3 linked regions of the Canis lupus familiaris genome follow. The protein of the gene in region 1 interacts with the protein of each later gene in a biochemical or structural test. Links are inferred from orthologs where the notes say so. Each region holds a gene or a part of one and is shown on either strand. Other genes may lie near its edges. The genes, in order: YAP1, ubiquitin carboxyl-terminal hydrolase 17-like protein 6 and TTYH3.

Region 1 (3,649 bases):
GAACAGCCCCGGAGCACTCGAGGCAGCACATGGTTGCTTCTCCCCACCTGGAAAAAGGGCAATGACCTCCTAGCTCTTCAGTCCTTTAAATCTTTTGAACTCTGAGCACAGACAATCTGTTTTCAAGACTGAGATTCTTCCCTTAAATCAGATAAATGTCTGAGTTAGGACAGTAGCCACAATCTCCCCATCTAAGTAAGATGTTCTCTCAACCAGTAATCTCTGGGGTTCATCCGGGAGAAAAGTTGATAAACAATAAAAAACCCAAAACATGACCCAAGCAGACGCTTCCTCTTTTGGTAATTGAGATACTCTTCCTTTGGAATGCCCTGAGAAGAATTTTTCCTCTAAAAGTACCATTTTGACTCTCTTAGGATTTCTTAGTCTACCCAAGGAGATCATCTGTGCCATTTTGTTACTGTTCAAATGGTTAATTCCTATAAATCATTATAAATACTATTTTAAGCTAGGCAAATGAAAATCAGGCATGCCCCAAGGTTGACAGGATGCACACCTAAGATATAATACATATCCAATATGTAATAGAGCAAGACTTCCATGGAATCAAAATGAGCACTAGGACTCTCTGGAAGCAGCAGGAGGAAGCAGGCAGTGTAGACTTTCTGGGAATGGCAATGGTAACGTTACATATTTGGAAGAAGATGGCTCAAGTGTTATACCCTGGGCTAACGGTCAGTGAGGACAGGCCCCTGGAGCACAAGTTTCTCGCTTTCCTAATTTAATATCTTTTTTTTTTTTTTTTTTAAATGCTAGAACATCAGATAAGAGCCTACCTGACATTTTGGAGAATTTGCTGTGCTGGGACTGATATTCCGCATTGCCTAAGAGTAAAAAATAAGATGGATAAAAATTACTTTAAGCCACATGGTTTGGCTATGTAGGCTGACTTACAAATTTCATCCAGACATACCACCATAGCACAGAACTCCCAAGCCAGCCCAAGAAGCAGCAACTGAGGAAGACAGTAGCCAACGGAGTCACCACATAACAAACTGAAACCGAGGAATACTGAACAGCATAGCATTGAGGACAGGACAGCAGGCTTTAGGTGTCAGACTCAAACTCAACCTCAAACACGTGATGTTGGTCAGGGAGGTTCTTTGCTTCTGAATATTAGAAGAAGCAGGAAAAATGTAACTCGACATTCTGGGATAAGAGCAACCAACAGAAGAAGAAATTCATAGAAATCCAAAACTTCAGACTTGCTGAATTTATACTGATTGCCAAAAAGCAAAACCAAAAAAATCCTAATAAACAGACTATTAGTATGAGAATAGAGCAGGTCTGTCACTTCAACGGGAGAAGAGACAACACAGTTGGTGACAGAGAAGAAACACAGAAGTTGCCTTTAAAGGAAGTTAAGCTGTTTTGTCTAGGACCCATCACCCACAGGAAGAGAGTAAGACTTAGGAAAATTCTCTGAAGGAAGAGTTTTATAAACAGCAGCATTGCCCACCAAAACAAAACATCACAGAACAAAACAAAAATTCCAGTCTGATTGATGGCATACAACAAAATGATGAATGGTAACATTAACAATTACGTAATTTTTCTTAATAAGATTTCTTGGTTTTGACAGTTTTCAACTCATATCTGACACTGAGACTTGTCTGTACTGAGACCATCTAGTGATCAGTAACAAAGTGAAAAGCAAGCATCGAAAACAGGCTCTTAGCTGATCTCTTCTAACAGAGGCATAATTATACTCTTGATGGTGCTACCTTGTTCTGATGATAAAGATTTAAATGAAATATATCTTTCCTTTTAGTAATTGGTTGGAAACTCAGAGGTACAATAAATTGTGTGAATATGATTCCTTTCTCCACCTTGTTGATGGCAGATAAAAAAAAACCATCTTTCGAGACTACTCCCTGACATGAAACATGGGAACATGTGCTCTCTCGTCCCCGGGCTCGCTCGGGGTGCTAAGCACTAGGCTTGCACTGACCAATGGCTGACAGCATAGTCTGTCTGGGACCTCCAGGGCTTATCTTTCATCCCCAGGGCTCAGGCTTCAGTGACCATACCACGTCCATGGGTTTCCAGTGACACTCCTGTGTCCAGAAAAGTGGAGTGTCATGTTTTTATTTCTACACTTGGGAGGCTACAATTTAGTGGGAAAAATAGTGAATACATGTGTTTCATGTCTGTGGACAGAATACCAATGAAAAATGAAAATGAGAAGCTGACCATTCCAGACACCCTGAGGAGGACAGGACTCGGGGCACAAGCACCTTCTGCCTACTTTCAAAATTGCACTGTTTCTATGGTCAAAACAATTTTATGAAAACTAAAATATATACTGCTCTGATAAGATTGCATGCCTGGTCCCTCCCAAAATAAGAGACCGTAAAAACCTGATTCTGCCAGGGGGCTGTCTAATCTCCTGACAAAGGAGCTCAGCAGCCATATCCTGAGATAAGACTCATGGAAACCTCCGTCCTACCTGCCATCCTACCTGCCATCTCAAAGGGACATTCAGAGCAGTACATTTTAAGGCACTAGGGGATCTAGTTCTAAACTTGGGGTCACTTGTACTATGTTTGAAATAAAATATCTTAGATTCAGCAATGCTGCCACCACTTGCCTATTTGAGAAATGTCTTAGTGATTTACTCCCAGCGGGAAGACCTCAGTGTCTGGTCGCCTACAGCTAAGTGGCCCCAGAAGGCAAAAATCCATCTGTGTTGCAGGCGGGCCTGGGAATGAAGACAGGGCGGAGCTGGAGACAATATGTCTGGGTTGCTGCTCCAGCAGGTGAAAGAGCAGCACCCCCTTGGAGATACCAAGGCTAGAAGAAAACACCGGGACCACACACAGGAAGCACACCCCGAAAAGTGGAAGGCTGGCCTCTAACCTGGGGCCTCACCTGGCGGAGCAGCTCCTGCTGCTTCAGGCGCAGCCGCTCCTTCTCCATCTGCAGCTGCTGGAGGCGCATCTGTTGCTGTTGGCTGGAGCCCCCGCCCCCTAGGACGCCTGGAGGGCTCTGCGGGGCTAGGGGCGGGGGCTGCTTCACCGGAGCGCTCTGGCTGATTCTCTGGTTCATGGCTGCAACAGAACAAAACATCTAGCCTAAAAATCTGGTAGCAAAGGCAAAGGACAGCTTTTCAAAAGCAACTGGGAATACTCAACGTAGCCTTTATGGCAGGAAGGCTGGAAATAACCTGAAAACCCACCACTGGGACAATGGTTCCATGAACTTGTTATCACGGCTGCTGCCTCCGTGGTCCTTATAAGATGCAAGACTGAAGAGACAAGATGGGGCGCGCATCGGCCACAATGTGAACGGTCGAAGATGTATACAGATAAAAGCCAAGGGTGGAACAGAAGGTATAAAAAAAGGAGGGGTATACGTATTCCATGCACATCCAGAGCACAGCAAGGGATGGGCAGCCCAGAAGCCACGAACGTGTGTTGGCTTTGGACCTGGGGCTCTGTGATGGAAGGGTGGAGTTGCACAGATAGTTTTGGGTCACTTTGGATATCTGAGTGATGTGAACACGTTATTTACTACAAAATATAAGTACAGGTTTAATTAAAAATACTTCTACCACAGCCAGTTTACTTAAAAACACATCTACCACAGCCAGTGACACGAAGCATTCTGAGCAGCAAAGTCCATTAAAAGT
Region 2 (3,165 bases), on another chromosome or scaffold:
TAAAATCACTGTGGTTCAATCAGGTCTGGATGCAGTTATTGCCCCAAAAGTAAGCACTTAATTTCCTTCCTACAATTTCCAAGCATTGACCAAGACACATCGCTAGCAAGACCCAATACATACTTATGTGTTCAGACAAAATTCTTTCAATATAAATAGAAGAAAAGCATTGGGAAGTGGGGACCATGACGAGAGGGTCAAACATACTGACTTCAACCCCAGGTCCTCAGCATCATATCCACTCTCAACCCTGACTGCTCACTGCCTCTCACCTGCAAGTGGCCCCCACTCTCCACAAGGCTGAAGGAGAGGCAGGTTCCTGGATTGACCCCATATGAAATCCACACTATCCCAATATAAGATCATGACAAAGACCCAGGTTTAAATATCAGTGTCTCCTAGTTTCAGTTGAAGGCCATATCCCATGAACACACCAGATAGATGGTTCTTCCATACATACAGAACACACACTTCACACAACACAAAATATTTCCAGTATGGGTCTGTGTTCGGGTTTGGAGTGTGTGAGTGACGCTGTGTGTGTGGGTGTGTGCGCCCATGTGCACCAAAGTTAGGAGACACATCCCTGGACTGCTTCCCCAGAACTCTGTCCCTTCTTGCTCGTCCTCTTGGTAGGTCGGGCTCTCCCTGGCACACGCGGGACTTTGGCCACGTCCCCGGCCACCTGAGGTGGGAGCATCCCAGCCGCAGTGGTGAGCAGGTCGACGGTCTGCTGAGGATGATTCTTCGGCATCTCAGGTCTGTATTTGGAGTGGTGAAGGATGACTGCGTTCGCAGGAAGAGCAATTTCTCTTCTCCTGACATTAAGTTCAGGCTTAGGGCGGTTGCATTCTTGGAGGCATCTCCACTGGTCTAATGTCATTTGTTGCCTTGAGGTCTCTTCCCCACGCTCCTCCAACTCAGGAAGGTTCACGGAGGGATCCGTTGCCGGCTCTCCTGAGGCCTCACCCACCACTGTGGGGTCTGCCTCGGGAGATGCGAGTCCTCCCTCTTCGACTGACTCCCTCCCAAGGTCTCTCTCCAGATCAGTCTTCTGCATATAAAAGAGGACATAGGCAGGTTGGCGCAGCGCGCAAGTCACATCACAGGCGCTGACCTTAGCATCATCCATTTTATACCACTGGCCATTTCCTGCCTTTACGAAACAGAAGTAATGTCCGCTGTGGCAACTCCTCCCAGCGTGCACCAGCACGGCATAGAGCACATAAACCAAGGGTCCTGCCCTCTGCTCAGACAGGTAGTGTTGCATGTCAAGGCGCTCAGGATATTGCACCTCCTTAGTCATTTTGTTGCCTGTCAAGTCTGAGAATCGTCTCAAGACCAGGATGAGGACCTTCGGGGAAGTGTGCAAAGTCAACACCTTGGACGCAGGCACCTTCTCCAGACACTTACTACAATGGTAGGCATTTTCACCTTCCAGCAGTTCGGGCTTCACCAACTGCTCCAAAGCTTGGCTGACGCTGTGAGCATCCCCGATGTCCAGGCTGATGTCCAGGTAAGGTTCCAGAGTGCTCGAAATGCCTTGGCAGTGGAGACACTGGATTTGAGACCTCCAGTACCCCCCAAAGAGTTGCTGGATGAGGGTGCTGTCCTGAGGACACTCAGGGTCTGAGAGCTTGTCCTCAGGCAAGCATGCTTGCTGCATTGCATCCAGAATGAACATGAGATACTCATGGGCATCTTCCTGCTTGTGTCTGTGGAAGGCGGCGAGCAGGAGTGGCAGGGGCCGGAGCACACGTCCAGGATGGCAGAGAACCCACATCAGGTGAGCCTGCAGGGTACACAGCATGCAGGATGTCTGCCTCCTACAGGTGGTCCCGTGCTGCTGGGACAGCATGTAGCTGGCGAGGGGCTCTGTGTAGGTCAGACACTGTAGGGTCGCATTCACATAGCAAGTGTTGCCCATGTTCTGAAGCCCGGCTCCCACCTGGGAAAGGCTCTTCCAACTCAGAGGCGTCTTGGTGGGAGGCAGCCCTGCTGATGCGGGAGCCAACGGGTCAGTCGGGGAGGAGAGCGTCTTTGATGCAGGAGATGTCCTCTCGGGCACAGAGGGTCCTCCGTGGACTTCAGCACCGCCTCTCCTTGACCAGTATGACTGGGGTTTGGGAGAGGCGCTGAACTGAGGCTCCTCTGAGGGGTGGAGGTGGGCAGCCTCCATGTCTGCAGAAACAGTGTCCACAAGATACATTCAACCAGGAGCTTCAGGGTCGCAAAGGGATGCTCCTCTCACTGATGCCAGTTTCCAAATGTCAGATAGTGAACCTCACCTCCACCTTTATGGCTTTTGGGCCCTGGGATAAGGCACAAAGTCCTCTAATCCACTCTAATTGCTTGATTGGATTACGGGATTTGGGTGTGGTCCCTCCCTGACGGAGACCATTCAGGTCAGCCCAGCTCCTATTCTTGCCTCCCACAACAGGCAACTTTCAGATTATTCTCAACCACCTCAACTGTCCCTGCACCTTTCTCAACAGAATTTGTTCAGAGTTTCTATGTTCAGAGGAAACCTTTTTGAATGTCCTTTCCTTTGAGTAACCCCAAGGGAGCCAAGGAGTGTTAGACGTTAGTGCTCTAGGACAGGGAAGATCACTCTCCCAAAGGAGCTCAGGTATCACATAGGAACTCGTTCTCCTCACCAGCAGAATGTTTGTAGCTGAAACCAATTATTTGGGAATATGGCATCCATTGCTTGGCTTCTCCACTTCTATCTCTCTGGACTATGATTCCAATCTACAAAGATTGTGAATGTTTTGATGAATACCAGTTTCTGCCTTGGTGTGGCCCGGGTCCACCACAACAGGAATTCTCTCACTGGTTTAATGTTTTTGGGAAACATTCCTTTGAAACTCCCTTTCCTACAAGAGTCTATATCCTAAATCCAGTGTTTATATGCCTCATTTTACCTGTACAAGACCGCGGGACCTTGAACACAAGGCACCAAGCACCAGATGCCCGGTAACACACTGGGGTGCAACCTTCCTTCCCCTTGCCTTGGGCTCCAGGAGGCTGAAGGAGAATGTGGAGCCGGGGAGTCAGCGGGACCAGCGGCACCAGGCTGGGCTGTTGAACCAGGCTGAGAGGGAGAAGGCAGGGAGACGAAGGTGAGGAATGGGGCTTGTGACCCAAACGCCAGGGCTGATACGA
Region 3 (3,749 bases), on another chromosome or scaffold:
CCCTCTGTGTCTCTGCATCTCCGAGTCAATGTGTCCAAATTCCTTCTTATGAAGACATCGTCATTTGATTAGGGCCTGCCATAGTCTAGTATGACCTCATCGTAACTTGTTCACATTTGCAATGATCCTATTTCCAGATAAAACCACAGTTACAGGTACCAGGAGTTAGGACAAGGACTTATCTGTGTGTGTGTGTGTGTGTGTGTGTGTGTTGCGGGGGTGGGGGGGACACAAGTCCACTCAGGACAGCTGAGTTATCATCTCACATGTTTAGGTCAGGATTTCTGGCCTTATCAGATGGAAATGCACAATGTTTTGGGGCTTCTGGAAACATGGAAAAGAGCTCATAGACCCCATGCCTCCACATGGGGACCCTGGTCGGCCTGATACACTGGTGCCTGGGGGCATGGGAGTCAGGGTGATGCAGGGGGTCTGTGGCTGTGTGACCTGCTGCTAATAACAGGACCCAGACACCATGCCCTTTAGGGATGGAGAATGTGACCTCTCTCTTCCTGCAAGGCTGTTATTCCTCAACTGGGTGGTATCTACATTATCCCATGGGTGGACACCATAGTTTTGCAAAGGCTCTCCTATGCCCATGGGCCTTTGCAGGAGGCCAAGTGAGGCCACCCAGCCTTATTACAAGAAAACAGACAAGTCAGGTCAAGCAGGTGAGCAGATGGACAGGCCTCTTGGGAAGCCACCGCCCGGAGTCTACAAGAGCCCAGCCCAGCCTGCCAGAAGGGGCCTGTCTGCCCACAGAGCTGGCTGAGCCAGAACATAGCAGGTGACAAAGTCCCAGATGTAAGGAGGGCCCTGTTTCTCAGGATGCAAGAGGTCCAGAAATAATAGTAAGAGGCCAGCGCAGCCCCTCCAGGCTGAACCCCCGCAGAAGCTCAAGGAACGTGCAGTGGTCGAGCCGACGAGCGAGCACCCTGGGAACCCTGGGAAGCGCAGCCAGGCGTGCGGATGTGCCGCGGGGTTCCGGCCCCCACCCCCACCTGCGGGTGGAGAATCAGCGGCTGGGCGCCGGGGTCCGCTCGGTCCTCCCCGCTCGGCGCCCCTTGGCCGAGGGGCGGGGCTCCGGGTGGGCGGAGCCTCCTCTAGCGAGCCAATGGCGGACTGGGGGCGGAGGCCTGCGGGCGGGCGCGCGGGGGCGGGGCCGGCGGGCGGCGGACCAATGGCGGCGGGGGGCGGGGCCGGCGGCAGAGGCGGGGCCGGCGGGCGGCGGGCCAATGGCAGCGCGGGGGCGGGGCGGCGGGCGGCGGGCGGGGGCGGGGGCGCGCGCGGAGGCGGCGGCGGCGGCGGCGGCGGCGGCGAACAAAGAGGCGGCGGGCGCGGGCGGCCGAGCGGAGCCGAGCGTAGCCGAGCCGGGCCGAGCCGGGCCGGGCCGGGCCCAGGAGCGCGCGGGCGATGCGGGCGGCCAGGCGGGGGGTGGCGGACCCCTGAAGCCCGCGCCCCCGGGCCAGCGAGGGAGCCCCGCGGCGGCGCGCGCCCGAGGCAGCGGCCCGCCATGGCCGGGGTCAGCTACGCGGCGCCCTGGTGGGTGAACCTCCTGCACCGGCTGCCCCACTTCGACCTGCGCTGGGAGACCACCAGCAGCCAGTTCCGGCCCGAGGACACCGACTACCAGCAGGTGACGCGGCCCCCCGGGGTCGGGGGTCAGGACCCGGGGTCCGGGCCTCGCCATGCCGGAGTCTGGGGGCCCTCGACCCCCCCCACCGCCATCGAGGGTCTGGGGGGTTCCCCTCCCCGAGGGTCGCCGCCCCCGTCCCCCTGGAGGGTCAAGGCCTCCGCCTTCCCCAGGGTCCTCCTGCGTCCTGGGGCCCCCCTCCGTGAGCGTCTAGAGACCCCCGTCCTGCATCGAGGGTCCATGGCCCTCCTGCAGATGCTAGTCTTCTCCCCTGGTGTCACTTGGGCCCTCCCTTCTGGGGTCTGGGGGAGCCCCCTGTGCCAGCTGTCAGCCCCAGCCCAGGCCCCTGCCCCACTCCTGGGGCAGCCCTCACCTGTGGCCCTGCAGAGCCCCCAACCCACAGGGGCCCAGGGCTCTGAGACCCAGCTGATACCTGAGAGTACTGGGTGCAGCCAGGAGGGGATTCCTTGCTCCCTTCCCCCCGGCTGGGGAATCCCACTCCCTGCCAAGATTTTGGTGGGTGAGTGAGCTGGGCAGGTGCCAGCCCTCTGTGGCTGGCCGTGACCCCCGGCTGGGTGGCCAGGCTGTGGGGATGCACAGTGCTGTGTGTGCGGTGGTGACACCTGGCCTGCCTAGAGACCCGGCTGCCAGTAGCCCCTGAGGAAGGAAGGCCTGACCACAGGGACACTCAAGGTGGGCCTCAGTCTGGGAGTCTGGGCAGAGTAGGGGGCAGTGGGAGCCTCTGCAGCCTTCTCCCCAAGGGACCAGGCTCTCCCAGTAGAACCCGAGGCCTGGGGTCATGCCAAGCCCAAGCACCAACCCCCCCCCCCCCCCCCCCTTTGCTTGAGCCACTGTCATTTGAGTGCAGGGCAGGGGACCAGGCTGTGGGCATTTCCTTCCTGCCTGGGGATCCGGATTCCAGAAGCCCCATGGCAGGGATGCCTGGTCACCCAGAACTCCCCCAGAGTGCTTTCTCTCCAGTGGTCATTGCAGAGCCCCGGGTGGAGTAGATCAGCCTTGCTTGTCAAGATGGCCTGGGAATCCAGGATTCCATGATATGATCACACCTCGCCTTTGTAGAATTCTGTCTTCTGTGGCCACCCTCATCTAGAAGATGAGAATCGGAAGCAGAGAGCAAGGGCACCATGGGCACCCCAACTCTGCAGAGGAGCCCACCACTCCCAGCTTCAGTGCTCACCTGAGGCCTGCCCCCCACCGCCCCACCCCCAGCTCTGCTGATTTGTTTCTAAGCAGATTAGAAAGGGGGCCAAGGATTGGCCCAGGCATGCCCAGAGACAGCATGATTTTTATAAAACTCAACGCCCACATTCTAAAAGCCCAGCCCTGGGGTGCCGACCAGTGTGGGAACAACACCCTTCTGTGCTCCCAGGGGCTTCCATATGTCATGGCTCTGTCACGTCCATGTCCATCTCCTGGCTCCCGCGGGCCAGGGGCTCTGCTGTACTTAGGAAGTTCTCTGCCACTTCTCAGTTGGGAAGCTCTCGGGTTGCCCCTGGGGCCACCTGGGGTGTCTGGGACCTGCACAGAGCTGGCCTGCTGGCCTGTAGGCGGCACCTGCTGTGGGCCAACCTCCTGCCCTCTGGGGCTCCTGGGACACGTTGTGGGGAAGGGAATGAGGGGCCAACGCTTGCAGCCTGTGGAAGCCTCCAGAATGGTAGCCAGCCCCCCAGCTCAGCCTGACCCCCTGCAGGGCCCTGTGCCCCTAAGAGGTCCCTGGTGTCTTCCCCCAGCCTCTGTGATCACTGTTCCCTCCTCCGCTGTGGGAGGGCTCTGACTCACTCTCCTGCCTCCTCTCTGTGGAGCAGAATTAGCCACTGAATAATTCACGGCGTGGAAACCAGCCTGTCTCCATCCCCCGCCGCCTCCGCTCCTGGCTGGGGGCTGTAGAATGAGCCAGGCCTGGACATACATCCTGCCCCCTGCCCTCCCATGCTGGTGCTTTTGGGCAAGCATTTGACCTCTCTGATCCTTAATTGCCACATCCTGAAATCTGGGCTGGCACACTTTTGTGGGGTCACAGTGGGGAATGCAAGGGCCCTGTGTTCCTGCTCCATTTTTGGTTGCAACAGACAGAGCTCCCTTCCTGGGTGGCTGG

Evidence for each region.
Region 2: the proteins of YAP1 (region 1) and ubiquitin carboxyl-terminal hydrolase 17-like protein 6 form a complex in vitro, tested with the Homo sapiens proteins (3 studies listed by BioGRID, with this or other methods). The link is inferred for Canis lupus familiaris from reciprocal best matches to the Homo sapiens genes YAP1 and USP17L2.
Region 3: the proteins of YAP1 (region 1) and TTYH3 interact in a test that uses a peptide from one of them, tested with the Homo sapiens proteins (2 studies listed by BioGRID and IntAct, with this or other methods). The link is inferred for Canis lupus familiaris from reciprocal best matches to the Homo sapiens genes YAP1 and TTYH3.

Annotation. Positions count from the first base shown.
Region 1 is NC_049226.1:29,551,471-29,555,119, forward strand, and holds part of YAP1 (transcriptional coactivator YAP1), read right to left. Parts: intron 3,069-3,649; coding exon 2,878-3,068; intron 843-2,877; coding exon 795-842; intron 1-794. UniProt on the Homo sapiens protein: Transcriptional regulator with dual roles as a coactivator and corepressor. Critical downstream regulatory target in the Hippo signaling pathway, crucial for organ size control and tumor suppression by restricting proliferation and promoting apoptosis.
Region 2 is NW_023330959.1:17,674-20,838, forward strand, and holds ubiquitin carboxyl-terminal hydrolase 17-like protein 6, read right to left. Parts: upstream 2,180-3,165; coding exon 572-2,179; downstream 1-571. UniProt on the Homo sapiens protein: Deubiquitinating enzyme that removes conjugated ubiquitin from specific proteins to regulate different cellular processes.
Region 3 is NC_049227.1:14,738,326-14,742,074, forward strand, and holds the start of TTYH3 (protein tweety homolog 3), read left to right. Parts: upstream 1-1,469; 5' UTR 1,470-1,513; coding exon 1,514-1,636; intron 1,637-3,749. UniProt on the Homo sapiens protein: Calcium-independent, swelling-dependent volume-regulated anion channel (VRAC-swell) which plays a pivotal role in the process of regulatory volume decrease (RVD) in the brain through the efflux of anions like chloride and organic osmolytes like glutamate.